Alligator mississippiensis: one gene and its partner. The protein of the gene in region 1 purifies or fractionates together with the protein of each later gene. This does not show direct contact. Links are inferred from orthologs where the notes say so. Each region holds a gene or a part of one and is shown on either strand. Other genes may lie near its edges.

Evidence for each region.
Region 2: the proteins of MECP2 (region 1) and YBX1 purify together in Homo sapiens (affinity purification with western blotting; 3 studies listed by BioGRID, with this or other methods). This does not show direct contact. The link is inferred for Alligator mississippiensis from reciprocal best matches to the Homo sapiens genes MECP2 and YBX1.

Annotation. Positions count from the first base shown.
Region 1 is NC_081831.1:28,770,341-28,777,858, reverse strand, and holds the start of MECP2 (methyl-CpG-binding protein 2), read right to left. Parts: upstream 3,019-7,518; 5' UTR 2,908-3,018; coding exon 2,873-2,907; intron 1-2,872. UniProt on the Homo sapiens protein: Chromosomal protein that binds to methylated DNA. It can bind specifically to a single methyl-CpG pair. It is not influenced by sequences flanking the methyl-CpGs.
Region 2 is NC_081836.1:1,388,993-1,396,502, reverse strand, and holds the start of YBX1 (Y-box-binding protein 1), read right to left. Parts: upstream 3,022-7,510; 5' UTR 2,886-3,021; coding exon 2,729-2,885; intron 2,525-2,728; coding exon 2,461-2,524; intron 1-2,460. UniProt on the Homo sapiens protein: DNA- and RNA-binding protein involved in various processes, such as translational repression, RNA stabilization, mRNA splicing, DNA repair and transcription regulation.

The DNA of each region.
Region 1 (7,518 bases):
AGGCTGCACTGTGCCTGGTGTGATGGGGCTGGTCCTGGCTGGGGCAGTGTATGGTGCTGTGCCTGTCATGACAGGGCTGGTCTCAGCTGGACTGCAGGCTGTGCTGAGCCTGGCATGATGGGGCTGCCAGTGGCACTGTATTGAACACTGGCAGGGCTGGTCCTTGGCCAGGCTGTGGGCAGTGTTGTGCCCATCACTACAGGGCTGGTTTCACCCAGGGGCCATGGGCAGTGCTGTGCCCGGTGCTATAGAGCTGGTGTTGGCTAGGCTGCAGGCTGTGCTGTGCCTGGCATGAAGGGGCTATCAACATGGCTATGTCTGGCATGACAGGGCTGCAGGCTGTGCTGTGCCCGGCATGATGGGGCTATGGAAAGCACTGCGCCCATGTGAGGGCCCCAGTCCCAGTCCCACTCTCTCTGCCAAGAAGCCTGGTAACAAATGCCTGAACCCAGGCACTGGCCCAACCCACTGAGCCAGGGCTGCCCCACAGCACTGAGCCAGGGAGACAGGAATTGGGTGGGTGTGAAAGCAGCGGGCCTCAGTCTGTTTCCATCTGCTGCAGCTCTAGCCCCTCCCTGTGCTCCATGCCTAGCTGGGTAAGGGCCGGGCTCCTGCCCCTGTGGACAGGCCTCCAGACACCAGTCATAGCGGGTCAAACATGTGTGGACAGCCAGGCTCTGTAAGTCTGAACACGGGAAGTAACAGATGCTCTAGGCCATGGGCTGAAGGACTGTGGGAACCAGAACCCCTGGCTTGAGTGGCACCAGGCTTCTTGACCACCACTAGTGCCCCTTGCTGTGCCCTCTGCCCTATGTGGTGCCCCCTGCTGTGCCAGCAGCCCAGGTCCCACTGAGAGGCAACACTGCCTTCCTGGTGCCTGCAAGCAAGAGAAAGAAGCCCCCAGCCCATGCCTGGCTTGAAGCAAGCATACTTGGCACCCCTCACTGTTGCCGGCAAGGACACAGAGGACATGCTCTGGCCCCTAGGCTGCCTGGCATGGGAAGCTCGGACTGTGACCACATCCTGGCTATGCATTGGGAATGGGCAACTGGCACGACCCCACCCTGCCGCCAGCAGGGCCTGCTCAGAGCTATGTCCAGCTGCCCACCCAGCCCTGTGGTGCCTTCATGCCAAGCCTGACACTGGTATCAGGACCACAGGCTCCCAGCTTCCCCTGTTGGAGTCAGTCTGCCTGGGAGTGTGGAGCTGCCCAGGCTACAGCTTCTACACTAGGACGGACAGGATAGTTCCTCCTTGCATGTCCATCTGTCCTAGCTCAGGGTGGCAATATCTGTGGCAGGCAAAGTGCCTTGCCCAGCTAACCCGTGTGCAACAGACCCACTCCAGCCCTACCCGCAGTGGATAAGTTCTCACACTCTCAGAGGAGCAGGCAGGAAAACCCATAACCACATGAGTCATGTTGACAGGCCAGAGCTGGGAGACCCCCTGGACAGGTGGGCGCAAAAGTCCATGTGTGTCACAAAAGCGGGCATGACAGTAGCATGTTGCACGGCCCTGGCAGGCTCAGAGCCGGGAACTGGCATGAGGCGGGTCCAGCAGGCATGGACCAGGCCAGGTGGCATAAGCCTGCACTGCTTGGCCCAGCCATGTAGCCACTAAGGTTACTGGGGGTGTCACATGTGGAGGGCAGCAACCATGTGAGGGCTGGGAAGACGCTGACTGGGAAGGGTGATGCTGGCCGGGGCAACGCCTGATAAGACTGGACAGCATGCATGGAAACGGAGGGTTCTGGGCAGCGTGGGCATGGGATGCATTGGACGCGGGTGCTGGCATGGGCGTGGCCCATGTGCAACCTTGCTGATATGGCTCAAGGCAGGGTGGATGCTGCGGCAAGACTTAGTAGGAGCACACGTGCAGTACTGGGAGGGCAGGTGTGCCAATGAAGAGGGTGTGGACAGTACAAAGCACTAGGTGCGAGTGAGCCCAGACAAAACACCATAGGACTGGAATGAGGGGGATGGGACAGTGCAGTGGGGATCGCGTGACAGGGCTGGGACACTGGAGTTAGCATGATGGGGCCAGAGTGGCACAGGGGGGATTGACGTGACTGGACCCAGGCAATGCCAAAGGGCTGGTGCGCCTAGGCTTGGCGTGACTGGGCTGAGGTGGTGCAGGGAGGTTGGTGTTACCAGGGCTTGACGTGACCCACATGGCGCACACAGGGGTTTGGTGCACCCCGTGTCCAGGAGCTTCATGTGCCCAGCACACAGGAGCTTAGTGTGACTAGCACCTAGGGGCTTGGCATGGCCAAAGGTCTGGTGTGACCCATGGCCAAGGGCTTGGTGCAACCCACGACTGGGAGCTGGGCATGACCAGGGGCTTGATGTGACGCATACCTGGAGACTTTGCATGACATAGGCTTGGTGTATCCTGCACCAAGGGTCTTGGTGTGACCAGAGGCTCGGCATGACTGGCAGGGGGGGGCGGGGGAGTGCGACCAACACTTGGAACTTAGCATGACCAGTGCCCAGGGGCCTGGTGTGACCAGGGCCTGGCATGACCCATGCCTGGGGTTTGAGTGTGACGGCACTTGATGGGTCCTACGCCCAGAACCTTGGCATGACATACACCCCGGGCCTTAGTGTGACCCATGTCGGGGGGGGGGGGGGAGTTCGCGACCTGTGACCTCGCCCGGCCCCGCCCCCCCCCGGGCGGCCCCTCCCCCCTCCCGGGGCCGCTGTGACGCACCACGGTCGCGCAAACGGGGGGGACTCACGCACGCCCCCCTCTCACGCCCCCCTCCCCTCCCCATCCCTCCCCTCCCCACCGCCTCGCGCGTCGTCGCCGCCCCCCGCCCCCCCGACACAGAAGGGGGGAGGGACGGGGGTCCGGCCGCGCGCGGGGCACTCACAGCCGCTCCTCGTCGCCGCTCGGCGCCGCCGCCATTTTCTTCGCAGCGAAGAAACCCGCGGGGGGGGAGGGGAGGGGGGGAGGGGGGGGGCCAAGCCGGGGTGGGGGGGGCCAAACCGAGCCGGAGAGGAAGCCCGGAGCAGGCAGGCCCCACCCCCTCCCCGATCCCCTCCTTTGCCGCACTCTGATTGGCCGTGGGCACTGCCCGTCACGCAGCCACCGCACATCCATTGGCTCCCGCGGGCGGGCCGCGGGGCGGGTCCCCCCCCCGCGCTCCCCCGCGCGGCAGTTGGAATTGGCGGGAAGCGCTGTCAGTTAGGGCGGGCCCCCTCCGGAAAAAGTGGGTGGGGTGGATGGAGCGCGCGCGGCGGCTGATTGGGTCTCGCTGCTGCCGCTGAATGGGCCGGCCTCCTGCCAGTCACTGTAGGAGGGAGCGTGGGGGGAGCCCAAGGAGGGGTGGGGCGCGGCATGGCGCGGCGCGGGGCGGAGGGGTTTGAAATTCAACGGCAGTTTGCAACGGTCCCAACCGCTGCCCCGCCCAATACGTCATACTCATGTTCACACCAAAGCTGTCACCACGCTTATGTCAAGGGAGCTCTGGGACCCCAGCACACTATGCTCACACCAAGGCAGCTTCAGGAACCCAACTCACTATGCTGATGCTCACACCAAGGTTATCCCATGTCCACACTCCTGCTAAAGTGGCCCCGGGACCCGAACACACCACACACACTCATGCTTACACCAAGTCTGTCTTGTGTCCACGCTCATGCCAAAGCAGCTCTGGGACCCCAACATGCCACACATGTTCACATCAAGGCTATCTTATGCCCACACTCACACCAAGGTGGCTCTGGGATCCCAAAACACCATGCTCACATTCACACCAATGCCATCTTGTGTCCACACCCATGCCAAGGCAGCCCTAGGACCCCAACATGCCACGCTCACCAAAGCTGCCTCGTGTCCACGCTCACGCCAGCTCGAACCCCAACACACCATGCTCATGCTGACAGTCACACCAAGGCTGATCACCTTCACCATCCGCCATAAAACTGGCAAGTCAGTCAGCAATACAGAAGTCCCTGACTTTAGGAAAGCTGACTTTGACAAGCTCAGGAGGCTTGTCAGTGAGGCCCTAAGGGACCACGACCCCAAGGGGAGGGGAGTTCAGGAAGAGTGGCTGTTCTTCAAGGGAATGGTCCTCAATGCACAAGCTAAGGCTCTGTCTCAGAGGAAAGGCAACAAAAGGGCACAGCAGCCCCCTTGGCTCTCCAGGGAACTAGCAGACCTCCTCTGGCTAAAAAAAAAGGCCTACAAAGGATGGAGGACAGGATCCACCTCCAAGGAGGAATACTCTGCACTGGTCCGGTCCTGCAGGTAGCAAACCAGGGAAGCCAAGGCTGTGACGAAACTCCAGCTAGCTACAAGTATCAAGGACAATAAAAAGTCCTTTTTCAGATATGTGGGGAGCCAGAGGAAAACCATGGGCAACATCAGACCCCAGCTAAACCAGATGGGACAACTGACAACTGATGCCCAGGAAAAAGCCAACCTATTAAATGGGTACTTTGCATCGGTCTTTCATCAGTCCCACGGGACGCCCTTGCCCATTACGGGACAGGGAGACTCAGGTGAGGGAGATTCCCTCACACACAAGACAGCCTTGGTGTGAACATGAGTATGATGTATTGGGCGGGGCGGCGGCTGGGACTGTTGCAAACTGTGATTGATTTTTAAACCCCTCTGCCCCAAGCTGCACCATGCTTCGCCCCACCCCTCCTTGGGCTCCCCCCACGCTCCCTCCTACAGTGATGGGCAGGAGGCCAGCCCATTCAGCATGGGCAGTGAGACCCAATCAGCCTCCACACATGTTCCACCCGCCCCAACCCCTTTTTCCGGAGGGAGCCCACCCTAACTGACAGCCGGACAGGGAGGCCCAGGTGGGGGGAGATTCCCTGCCCTCCATCAATGCTGACCTTGTGAAGGAACACCTTGAGAGGCTGGACACCTTCAAGTCAGCTGGCCCTGACAATCTACATCTCAGGGTACTCAAGGAGCTGGCAAGCATCATAGCCAGTCTGTTAATGTCAGGTGCTGGGCTATTTTGTTCAACATCTTCATTAATGATGTGGACATTGGAGTCAGAAGTGGACTGGCCAAGTTCGCCGATGGTACCAAACTCTGGGGTACAGCACCCGCACCTGAGGACAGGAGGGCGATCCAGGCTGACCTTGATAGGCTCATGAAATGGGCGGACAAGAACCTGATGATGTTTAACACTGAAAAATGCAAGGTTCTCCACCTTGGGAGGAAAAACCCGCAGCATGCTTATAGGCTCAGCAGTGCTACACTGACTAGCACTACGGATGAAAGGGACTTGGGGGACATGATTGTCCACAAGGTGAACATGAGCCTTCAGTGCAATGCTGTGGCTAGTAAAGTGAGCAAAATGCTGCCTTGCACCCATAGATGCTTCTCAAGCAAATCCCAGGACGTCATTCTTCCATTATACTCAACCTTGGTGAGGCCGCAGCTGGAGTACTGCATCCAGCTTTGCGCTCCACAATTCAAAAAGGATGGGGAGAAGCTTGAGAGAGTCCAGAGAAGAGCCACGCGCATGATCAGAGGTCAGGAAAACAGACCTTACGACGACAGGCTGAGGCTTCAGCCTGGAAAAGCACAGGCTCAGGGGTGATCTGGTGGCCACCTATATGTTCATCAGGGGTGCTTACCAGGATTTGGGGGAAAGTCTGTTCACCAGAGCACCCCAAAGGATGACAAGGTCAAATGATCACAAACTCCTCCATAACCGTTTCAGGCTGGACATATGGAAGAACTTCTTTACTGTCCAAGCCCCCAAGGTCTGGAATAGACTGCCGCCAGAGGTAGTTCAAGCACCTACATTGAACACCTTCAAGAGAAATTTGGATGCTTATCTTGCTGGGATCCTATGACCCCAGCTGACTTCCTGCCCCTGGGGCAGGGGGTTGGACTTGATGATCTTCCAAGGTCCGTTCCAGCCCTAATGTCTATGAAATCTATGAAGGCTGTCTCATGTCCATGCTCACACCAAGGCAGCCCCAGGATCTGAACACACTATGCTCATGCCCACATTCATGCCAAGGTCATCTCATGTTCATGCTCACACCAAAGCAGCCACAGGATCCCAACATGCCATGCTCACACCAAGGCTGTCATATGTCCACACTCATGCCAAGGTGGCCCTGGGACTCCTGTGTTATGCTCATGCCACAGCCCTCCTGGATCCACACTCATGCTGGGACCCCCAACATGTCACACAAACCAAGCTGGCCTTGTGAGCCCTAACATGTCACAGTCATGCCACCACCCTCCTGTGTCCATGTTCATGGGGCTACCCACAACACACCACACTCATACTCACACCAAGGTGGCCCAGAACCCCCAACACATCACGCTCACACCACGGGCTTCAGTCTATGCTTATGCCAAGAGAGCCTCAGGAGCCTCAATACATCATGTCAAAGCAGTCTTGTGATCTCCATGTCACACTCATGCCACAGCCCTCCCTCCCCCCCGCTCATACCAGGACCCCCAACACACCACACTCACACCGTGGCACTGGGACCCCAAAACATCATGCTCACTTTGAAGTCATCTCATATCCATGCTTACATCCAGACCTGGACACATGCATGGGTGAACCGGGTGGCCACCTAGGGCCCGGATAGAAAGGAGGCCTGAAAATTAAAACAAAATTACAATTGCAAAAAAAGTTTTAATGCACATATACAGGATTGGCAATATTATCAACTGAGAACAAACTATTTAAAGACATCGATACCACAGACGTGATAAAGACCTTTGCAACAAGTCTGATTATTATTATCATTATCTCTGGCAAAGGGGGACCTGATACTCAAAGTTTGCCTAGGGCCACCAGGAGCCTAGATACAGCATTGCTTACACCAAGGTGGCCCTGTGACTCCTAATATTTCATGCCTGTGCTACAGTTGTCTCATGTCCACACTCATGCCAAAGCAGTGCATGGAATTCTACACGTCACTGTCACGCCACACCCATCTCATTTCTGTGCTCACACCAAAACAGCCTCATGACTCCCAACATGTCACACTCATACTAAGGGAGCTCTAGAACTGACAGCACATCACACTTGTGCCAAGGCAGCGCCATGTCTACACTGACACTATGGAGCCCCCTGTGAGTTTGCCAACATGTAACAGTCACCCCAAGGTGGCCCTACATCCACACTCAGACCAAAATGTCCCCTGACTCCCAACATGTCACACACACGCCAAGGCTGTCTCCTGTTCACACTCATACTAAGGCGCACCCCCCCCCAACAGATCACAATCACACCAAGATGCTCCCATGACCCCCAGCATGTCACATGCTAAGGCCACCCTATGCCTATGCTCATGGCAAGACTAACCCAATGCCCTCCAATATGGCCACCCTCATGCCAAGCCCCCTTGCCCCCCAGCATTTCACATGCTGTCCCATGACCACACAAAGCCATCCCATGCCCAGGCCATGCAGCTTTTGGCCACTATGACCATGGATCAAGCCCAGCCTGCCAGCAGCCATCTTCTGCAGGCTGCATTGAAACCATCCCTCTGCTCAGGTGAGGCTGTGTATGTGGGG
Region 2 (7,510 bases), on another chromosome or scaffold:
GTCGCTAATATTTTCCATACGTAGCTCTCCACACATCAGATGTCTCAAGCCATCCATGTCCACCTTTCAACTTCATTTAATGCCAACAAGGGGATTTACAATAGATACCAGATGCCTAGTAGGCTTAAGATGATCCAAAACTTCCAGTCATCTTCAAGGAAAACCTGTAATGGCCTCAAAGCAACCAACTAGAACACAAACACAATCCTAAGCATGTGCGAGATAAGAGCCTATAAATGATAAAGGACCATTAAAAAGCTTTAATTACACTTCTACTCTAGCCAAACTTAATCAGATCAGTGGTCCATCAAATCCAGGATCCTGTCTGACAGCGGACAATAAGATTTACTTCTAAAAAAAGCCTTTACAAATCAATGTACTCTTTCTGGATAAATTAGTAACTTGTAGATGACTTTCTTAAGTCCCAAACTCATTGCTTCAAATTATGTTTTCCAACTATGAGATCCACAAATTCACTCCCTTTTAACAAATCTGGGTTTGTAGCTGGCTGGTGTCATTTGAAACACCTCATAATGCAAAGTGGCTGAGTGCTCAGCTTCCTCCTGCCTTCTGCTTATCTTGTTGAACTACAAATCTTTTCAACTTCTTCATAATGCAAAGCTTGAAGAGGGACTGGCTGAACAAGGACTATGGTCCGACTTCATGCAGAGCAGATCTGCTGATTAAGACAAAGCTCCAGAGGACTTGTTATGAAGTGGCATTAACAGACCGCTAAACACTTGAGCTGCAATTGCAGATAAGTAACAGGGCTGTATCAATGCCCTTCTGAACCACTTACTATTTATGATAACTGCTAGAAAAAACAACAACAGGTTTGTTTTTTTTAGGACTCAGGCCAACATTCAGAGTGAAAATACACTTTAAAAACACAAAATAATTAGAAAGAAAGCAGCAATGTTGTCTTTAAGCCAGCAGATGTTTCCATCAAAAAGGATGGATCTGAATTGCAAATATATTCACAGAAAGATATAGTTAGATGCAAGAGCAGTAAAGCGCCCCACACCTTTTTTTAAGGGATTTTTTTTCCCCTACAGTTAACTAGCCAGAGCTCAGAACTGTGGACATGCCCTTTAGCTCCTTTTCTCAGGCTGCAGCTCTTCTCGCGCAGTCCTGTTAACACGAGATCGTGCTGGGCTTCTCATTAAAATGACAACCCAGGGGATTAAGCCCAATGCATGCTCTGAAACATTCAGATGCCTTTTAACTATCAGCTGTCATTTTCTTGCATTGTTTCTTTTCTTCAAGTGTGTAGTTCGGCGTTCCCTACAGAACTGGCAAAGTACCGTTTTACGCAAATTTACCAAAAGCAGAATTGCCAGAACTTACAACTTTAGCACCAAACAACAAGCTATTATTCAACGTCCAACTACAGAAGTTGGCAACCACACAGGAAATCCAACTCTATAGAAAAGCAAGGCACTTAAGTTTCAAAATGTGACAATCCAATTAAAAAGTTGGGATCATGAAGTTGAATAGTACAGTCAATTTGTCAAATAATAAAACATCAGACCCTACCCAGCCTCTTCTGGAAAAAGCAGGCCTTCAGTGTCATGTCACCTCCGCATTATACAGAGGCAGACATGGCAGGAATTAAAAGCCACACCTCAGCTGTAATTAAATACCTCTCTTTCACTTGTGTCATAAACCTCAGGATTCAAGTAATTTACATTTTCCTAACGCTCATCTGTGTAACCTCAAGATCTTACCAAGTTAGGGAGGAAAGGGCAAGACAGCAACTTGTTAAAAGCTCCCGGGCAGCTGGGCAGGAAGTAATTAAATTCCAGCGAGCTTGCCCGTACAGCGAGACACGCGGCTGCCCCCAGCTACAGCTCGTTGGTGTGCTGAGCGAGTCGGACACCGCTGGCCAGGCCCCAGCCACGCGGAGCCCGTCACCCGCTCGGCGCGGACGCCCGCCCGCCCGCCCGCCCAGTGACAGCCCGGGCGGCAGCGGCAGGACTCTGCTACCAAGCTGCGTTTTATTAACGCACGATGACTTCAGCACCTCGCCACGGCCCTGCCGGACGGCCCTCGCCAGCCTGTCACAGCTCCCCTCCGTACTGCAGAAAGTGTAGAACAGCCTCAAAAGCGAGGAAAGCTTCAGAAACCCCCTTGGTATCGCGACCGACACCAACGTGGCCCTCGGCTTCTTGACGCTGCTCCAAAAGGGCTCCCGCGGGCAGCGCGCTCTCAGGCTTAAATTCCCGCTGGACGTCAGTCCTTCGTAACCGGCGCTGCAGGGGCCCGAGCTCAACTCCGGAAAAACGCGCGGCGCCGCCTCTCGGCGCCGACGGCATCGCGAGTCGGTAACAAAACCCCCGCGCGCCTTCGCCTTCCCTTCCCCCAGGGCCGTGCCGGGCCGTGCGGCGGGTGTAACGCGGGGGCTCCGAGCCCGGCCCGGCTGCCGGTGACAGCGCCCGAGGGGTGGGGGGGCAGGCTCACCTGTTGATGAAGCCGTAGCCGTTCCGCACGTTGAACCATTTCACTGTTCCCAAAACCTTCGTTGCTGCAAGAGAGGAGGCGGAGGCGGCGGTGGCGGTGGGGCCGGGCACGTGGCGGCCGCACACAAAGGCCGCGCGTGGCGGACATTTTGAGGCTGAGGCGCCGCCCCGCCCCGCCCCGCCCCCCCCGCGCCACGCGGGGCCCAACGGCTCCGCGCCAACGGCCGCCCGCGCCCGCCCCCCGCCCCTCCGCGCGGCCCCGCGCTCACCGATGACCTTCTTGTCCCCGCCGGCGGGAGGCGCCGCCGAGGCCAGGCCGCCGCCCCCGTTGCCGGAGCCGCCGCCCGGCTTGGAGTCGGCGGGGGCGGCGGGCGCCGCGGCGGGGAGGGGGGCGGCGGGCGGCTGCGGCTCGGCCTCGCTGCTCATGGCGGCGGCGGCGGGGTGCGGACGGTGGTGGTGACTGGCTGCGCCGCTCCGCGGGGTCTGATGGTGACTGAGGCCGGCCGGGGGCTGCTCCCTGCTCCGGGCTCGCTGGGCTCCGCTCTCCGCTCCCGATCCCGATCGAACTGGCCACAATGGCGGCCCGCGCCGGCTAGCCACCCGCCGCGCCCCGCCCGCGCGCGGCCCCATTGGCTGCCGCCGCCGCCTGTCAGGCGCCACGCGCGCCCGTTGGCTGCGCTCCGCCACCGCCCCGCGCGCTCGCTGGCCGGCCCGCTTGCCCTTCAGGGGGCCGTCCAGCCCGTATGCAAGCCGATTGGCGGCAGGGCTTGGCTGTCACAGGCCGCGCGCGCCAATTGGCTACGCGGCTCGTTCCGGCCCGCAGGGGGTGTTTTTTCTCCCCCCCCTTTTTTTTTTTTTTTTTTTTTTTTTTGCTCCCGGGCTGGTTTCCCCGCCCCCCTGCAGCCTGATTGGCTGCGGCCCCGCCGGAGGACAGGACGCGGACATGCCCTCGGGGTCTCGCCCCGCCCCGCGGAGCGGCCGCGCAGAGCGGGCACGCGGAGGCTGCCGGCAGGCGGGCGGGCAGCGCCGCGGGGCCGCGCGTGGCGGGAGCAGGCCGGCAGCCGGGGTGCAGCGGGCTGCCGCGCCGCCAGCGCTTCCCCGCGGCACTGCTTCCCCCCGAGGCGGCGGCGGGGCGCGGGGCCGAGGCTCGCAGGAGGAAGTCTCGGTCGCTGAGCGGTGCGGTGCGCCGCGGCCGCCGGACGGACGGACGGACGGCCGCCCCCGGGAGCGCGGCAGCGCGGGGCCGGTGTAGGCGGGGGCGGCGCAGCCGGGCAGCACGATGGCGGCGTGGCCGCCCGCCCGTGCGGTGCGCCGCCCCTGCGCTGCGCGCCGCTACCGCTCGAGTGACAGGCCGGCGAGGACGCGCGTGAAGCGGGCTGGCAGGCCCCGCCCGCGGGGGATTGGCGTGCGCAGCCCCGCGCGCTCCCCGCCGCCCGCGCCGCGCCTCCACCTGCGCACCCGCACGGAAGGCGTCCGGGAGGCGCTGCCCGCCCGCCCTCCAGCGAGGGCCGCCTGGGCCGTCCGTGCAGCCGAAGCGGTCGGCGCGAAGGCCCGGCCGGGAGCAGGAGGCGCACGCACAGCCGGGGGCGGCGGAGCTGCCCGGGGCGGTCTTGCCCCCACGACTGACCGCTGCCTGGGCTGCGCGGGGTGGGGAGTGCCCTCCCGCGGGGCAGCGCAGGCGGACGGGCCCCACGTGGTTCCCGATGGTGGTTGCGATCCCGCGGAGGAGCGTTTCTTCACGGACCAGGATTACTTCCCCCGGTCAAAAACGTTCCAGGCCGAAGCGGGTCAGGGAGATGGCGGGCGACACCACTCTTCCCTGCAGAGGCGCCGGCACTGGCGCGGGGCCTGCAAGGCCCCTGGTCCTGCGCGGTAACGCGCCCGCGGCGAGGCAGGAGCTCACAGCGCGACCTGCGCATCGGACCCCCGTCGCTGCTGGGGCTGGTACCAGCCCGGGTCGCACAGACACCACCTGCTCGGCCTTTTCTTGTAAGCGGCCCAGGCCGCTCCAGGGCTGTAGCTCGTAACCGCCGCTCTGCGCCTAGTCGCGCTTCTAGCCAGGAGCGGAGCCCGGACGCCGAACCCCAAGGCTCGTGCTACCGCTGACCTGCAGATGCAGCACGCCAGTCCCGGGGGGCAGGTTAGCAGCGTTGATTCCCCCAGCTCGGGGGCCACGCTGACCACATCTGACAGCTCCGGCGTCGAGGGTTGTGGCTCGCCATCAGAAAATCAGACTGGCCCGGCCGGCGCGTGTGCGCTCGGGGCCCGGCCGACAGGCACATCCACCGTACTAGAGTTTTGAGAGGTGCTACACTTTTGCAGATATGAGCTCCCCGCGATGCTGCCCCACAAAAACAGGCGGGGGGGAGGGCAGGGGCACGCGCCACCGGGTAAACACGATAACCCAGGTAACCATCCGTCTGTCAGCCTGACCTTTATCCCCAGCACCCTCCGTGACTTCCTCCCACTCCTGTCGCCACTCCCAAGCCTCCGGGTGCCACAAACCCAGAGCGGAAACAAAATTAATCACTTATCTCTGCATGCTGCAACCTGCAGGGCTCCTGCTCCGTGGGGATCTGGGCCAGGCTGTGCCCCCAGCCCCACACTCGGGCATGTTACCTCCTTTTGCCCCCTCCCCACCTTCCAGTCACCTGACTGGGCTCTCTGGTCACAAGGCCAAGTGCTACCAGTCATCCCAGTCTGCAGACTGGGCCCAGCAGCCCTCGACTCTGCTGCAGCCACACAGGCTCTACACTCCCATGTTAGCTGCTCACAGCCCCTCCTGCAAGCTGCACCCCACCTGCCCTCTAGCAGGGGCCAGGGGTCCCGCTACACACGCCCCTCCTTTATGAGATGCCGGGAGGAGGCCTCTGCCACTATCCTCCTGTACAGCGGCTGAGGGGATGGAGCAGAGCCCTAGGGCAAGAGCTCCCAGCGTGCTGGCCACCAGGAAGGCAGAGCGTGGAGGCAAATGTGCAGTCATAGGGGGCAGCTGTTAAAATCATTTTCTGCTAGAAATAATGGGTGTGACAAGTAACATAATACGACTTCTCACACCACTGGCCCTGATGAAGGGCTGATGTCCAAAGAGCCCCGAAATGCTCTCTCTGTTCATTTTGGGCTCAGGAGCTAGTTTTCTGAATGGGTCTCTAAGGGTCTGGCTTTCTACCGACTCTTCCGTGCCGAGAGCGCCTCTAGGCAGTGCGACAGAGTTCATTTCTCTTTTCCCTCCTCCTGTTCTCTAGTGTCACAAATATTTATTAATACAAAGCCTCTAGGTGAGGAAGGTGCATCCAGGCCAGGCCCCTGCTGTTGCAGCGACCCACATCATACAACCTGGTTCATCAAGTTATATCAAACTCCATCTTAAAACAAGTCTGTTTTTTTGCCCCACTGGTCCAAAGAACAAGGACCCCTTTCCTCGCAGTGACAGCTGCTGGGTACCTGACAAGCCTGTGGGAGCCTGGTATTTTTCCAAGTCTTGCCTCCAGCCTATTTGTATTGTTTCTGCAACACGTGGCACGCACAGAACGCACAAGGCAGAGATACATGCCGTTAACACTTTTACATCTTTCAAATGACTTGCATGACCTCAGCCCTTCCTTTTCAGTGCTCACACACGGTCACAGCAAACTCATGCTCATGAAATCTTTACGCCTCACCTCATCTCTTCCCTAGTCATCTAAACGCAGGGAGTGGCAAGAGTGAAACAAGTGCCTCAAAATGGCCCTGGCAATTCCCTGGACCCCAGCCAGCACAGCCTGCACGGCATGGCTTTGATTCTGCTCAGGAAGAACTGAGCTTGGCTCCTTATTGCAGGGCTAGCGGACCCATGTCAGACTGCATGGCACTCCAACAGCTTATAGCAGCCAGCGAAGGTGCAGCACGAGGCAGCTCTGCCATCTCCTTTCCAACTCGGCCCACACCACATCCCTCCCAAGTAAGCTGGAGGCAGGGGGCAGCTGGTGCAGGAGCTCCTGTACCAGTGAGGCGCTCACCTGCGCAAGAAGAACTTGCCTTAGGAAGCCTCTGGCTACAAAGGTTGGTTTGGACTGATTATGTGGCCTTCAGGACAGGAAAGCTCAACCCTGACTATTCTAACTGAACACACTGCGCACACATTTATCAAAAGGCTTTATTTACATCTGGGACTTGGGGGGTTTTTCTCTCTCTCTTTTTTAAGAAAAAGTTGTAGACCTGGAATATCTGAAACTCCTGGTGTGAAGTGGCAACAGCACAGCTGTAACCTGCAGGATCAGGCTGAGGCAGCTGCAGGGACGCGTGATGTGGGAACAGTGACCAGACCTGGAGTGGACAAGGAACAAGAGCAGTTACAGGAACAGGCGCAGCAAGCAGAATGCACACAAGTCAGTGCCACGTTATCTGAGCTCACAGAACAAAAAGCTGAGGGTAAGAAAAAGAAACTGCGCTAGTAACCCAAAGCCTACTTACACACAGCGCTGCTGTGTAGCAATAGAGGACCATCCAGATACTTTGCAGGCCCCTGTGAAGATGAGGGTCTGTGCAGCATGCGGGGGTAGACAGAGCTGCCCCAAACAGGTGCAAGGAACCTCCCAGGTGCTGCAGCTTTTATTCCAAGGCTACTGCTTCTCCAGTCAGCTACCTGGGAGCACAGTGGAGAGCCAGCTAGTTGGAGAAGCAGTGCCCTTAGAAGTAAAAAAACCCAGCCGAGCAGCTTGTCTGACATTCAGCAGGTTGCAAAGTCCCCAGATGCAACGATTCAGGTCTTACTATACCCAGGGCAGACTGGATCACAACGGTATCTAACCCGACCTAATGGTAGGTCAGCACAATGATACTGGCTGCATTAAGAACAGGTGATGTCACGTGGCAATAACTGGGCCCTTCAGTGGGCTTTGCCGCCCTCATTTGAAGGGTTTCAGCTCCATGGCACTCAGCTCAGGCACTGAGTCTCAAACCTGCCCTGAATTAGGAAGTGCAACAATTGCTTCTCAGGCGTCTAGGTTTACTTGCCTCTTATGAGCAGCATGAAACATTTTGCTCTTCTGAAACTTGGCAGAACCTCAAAT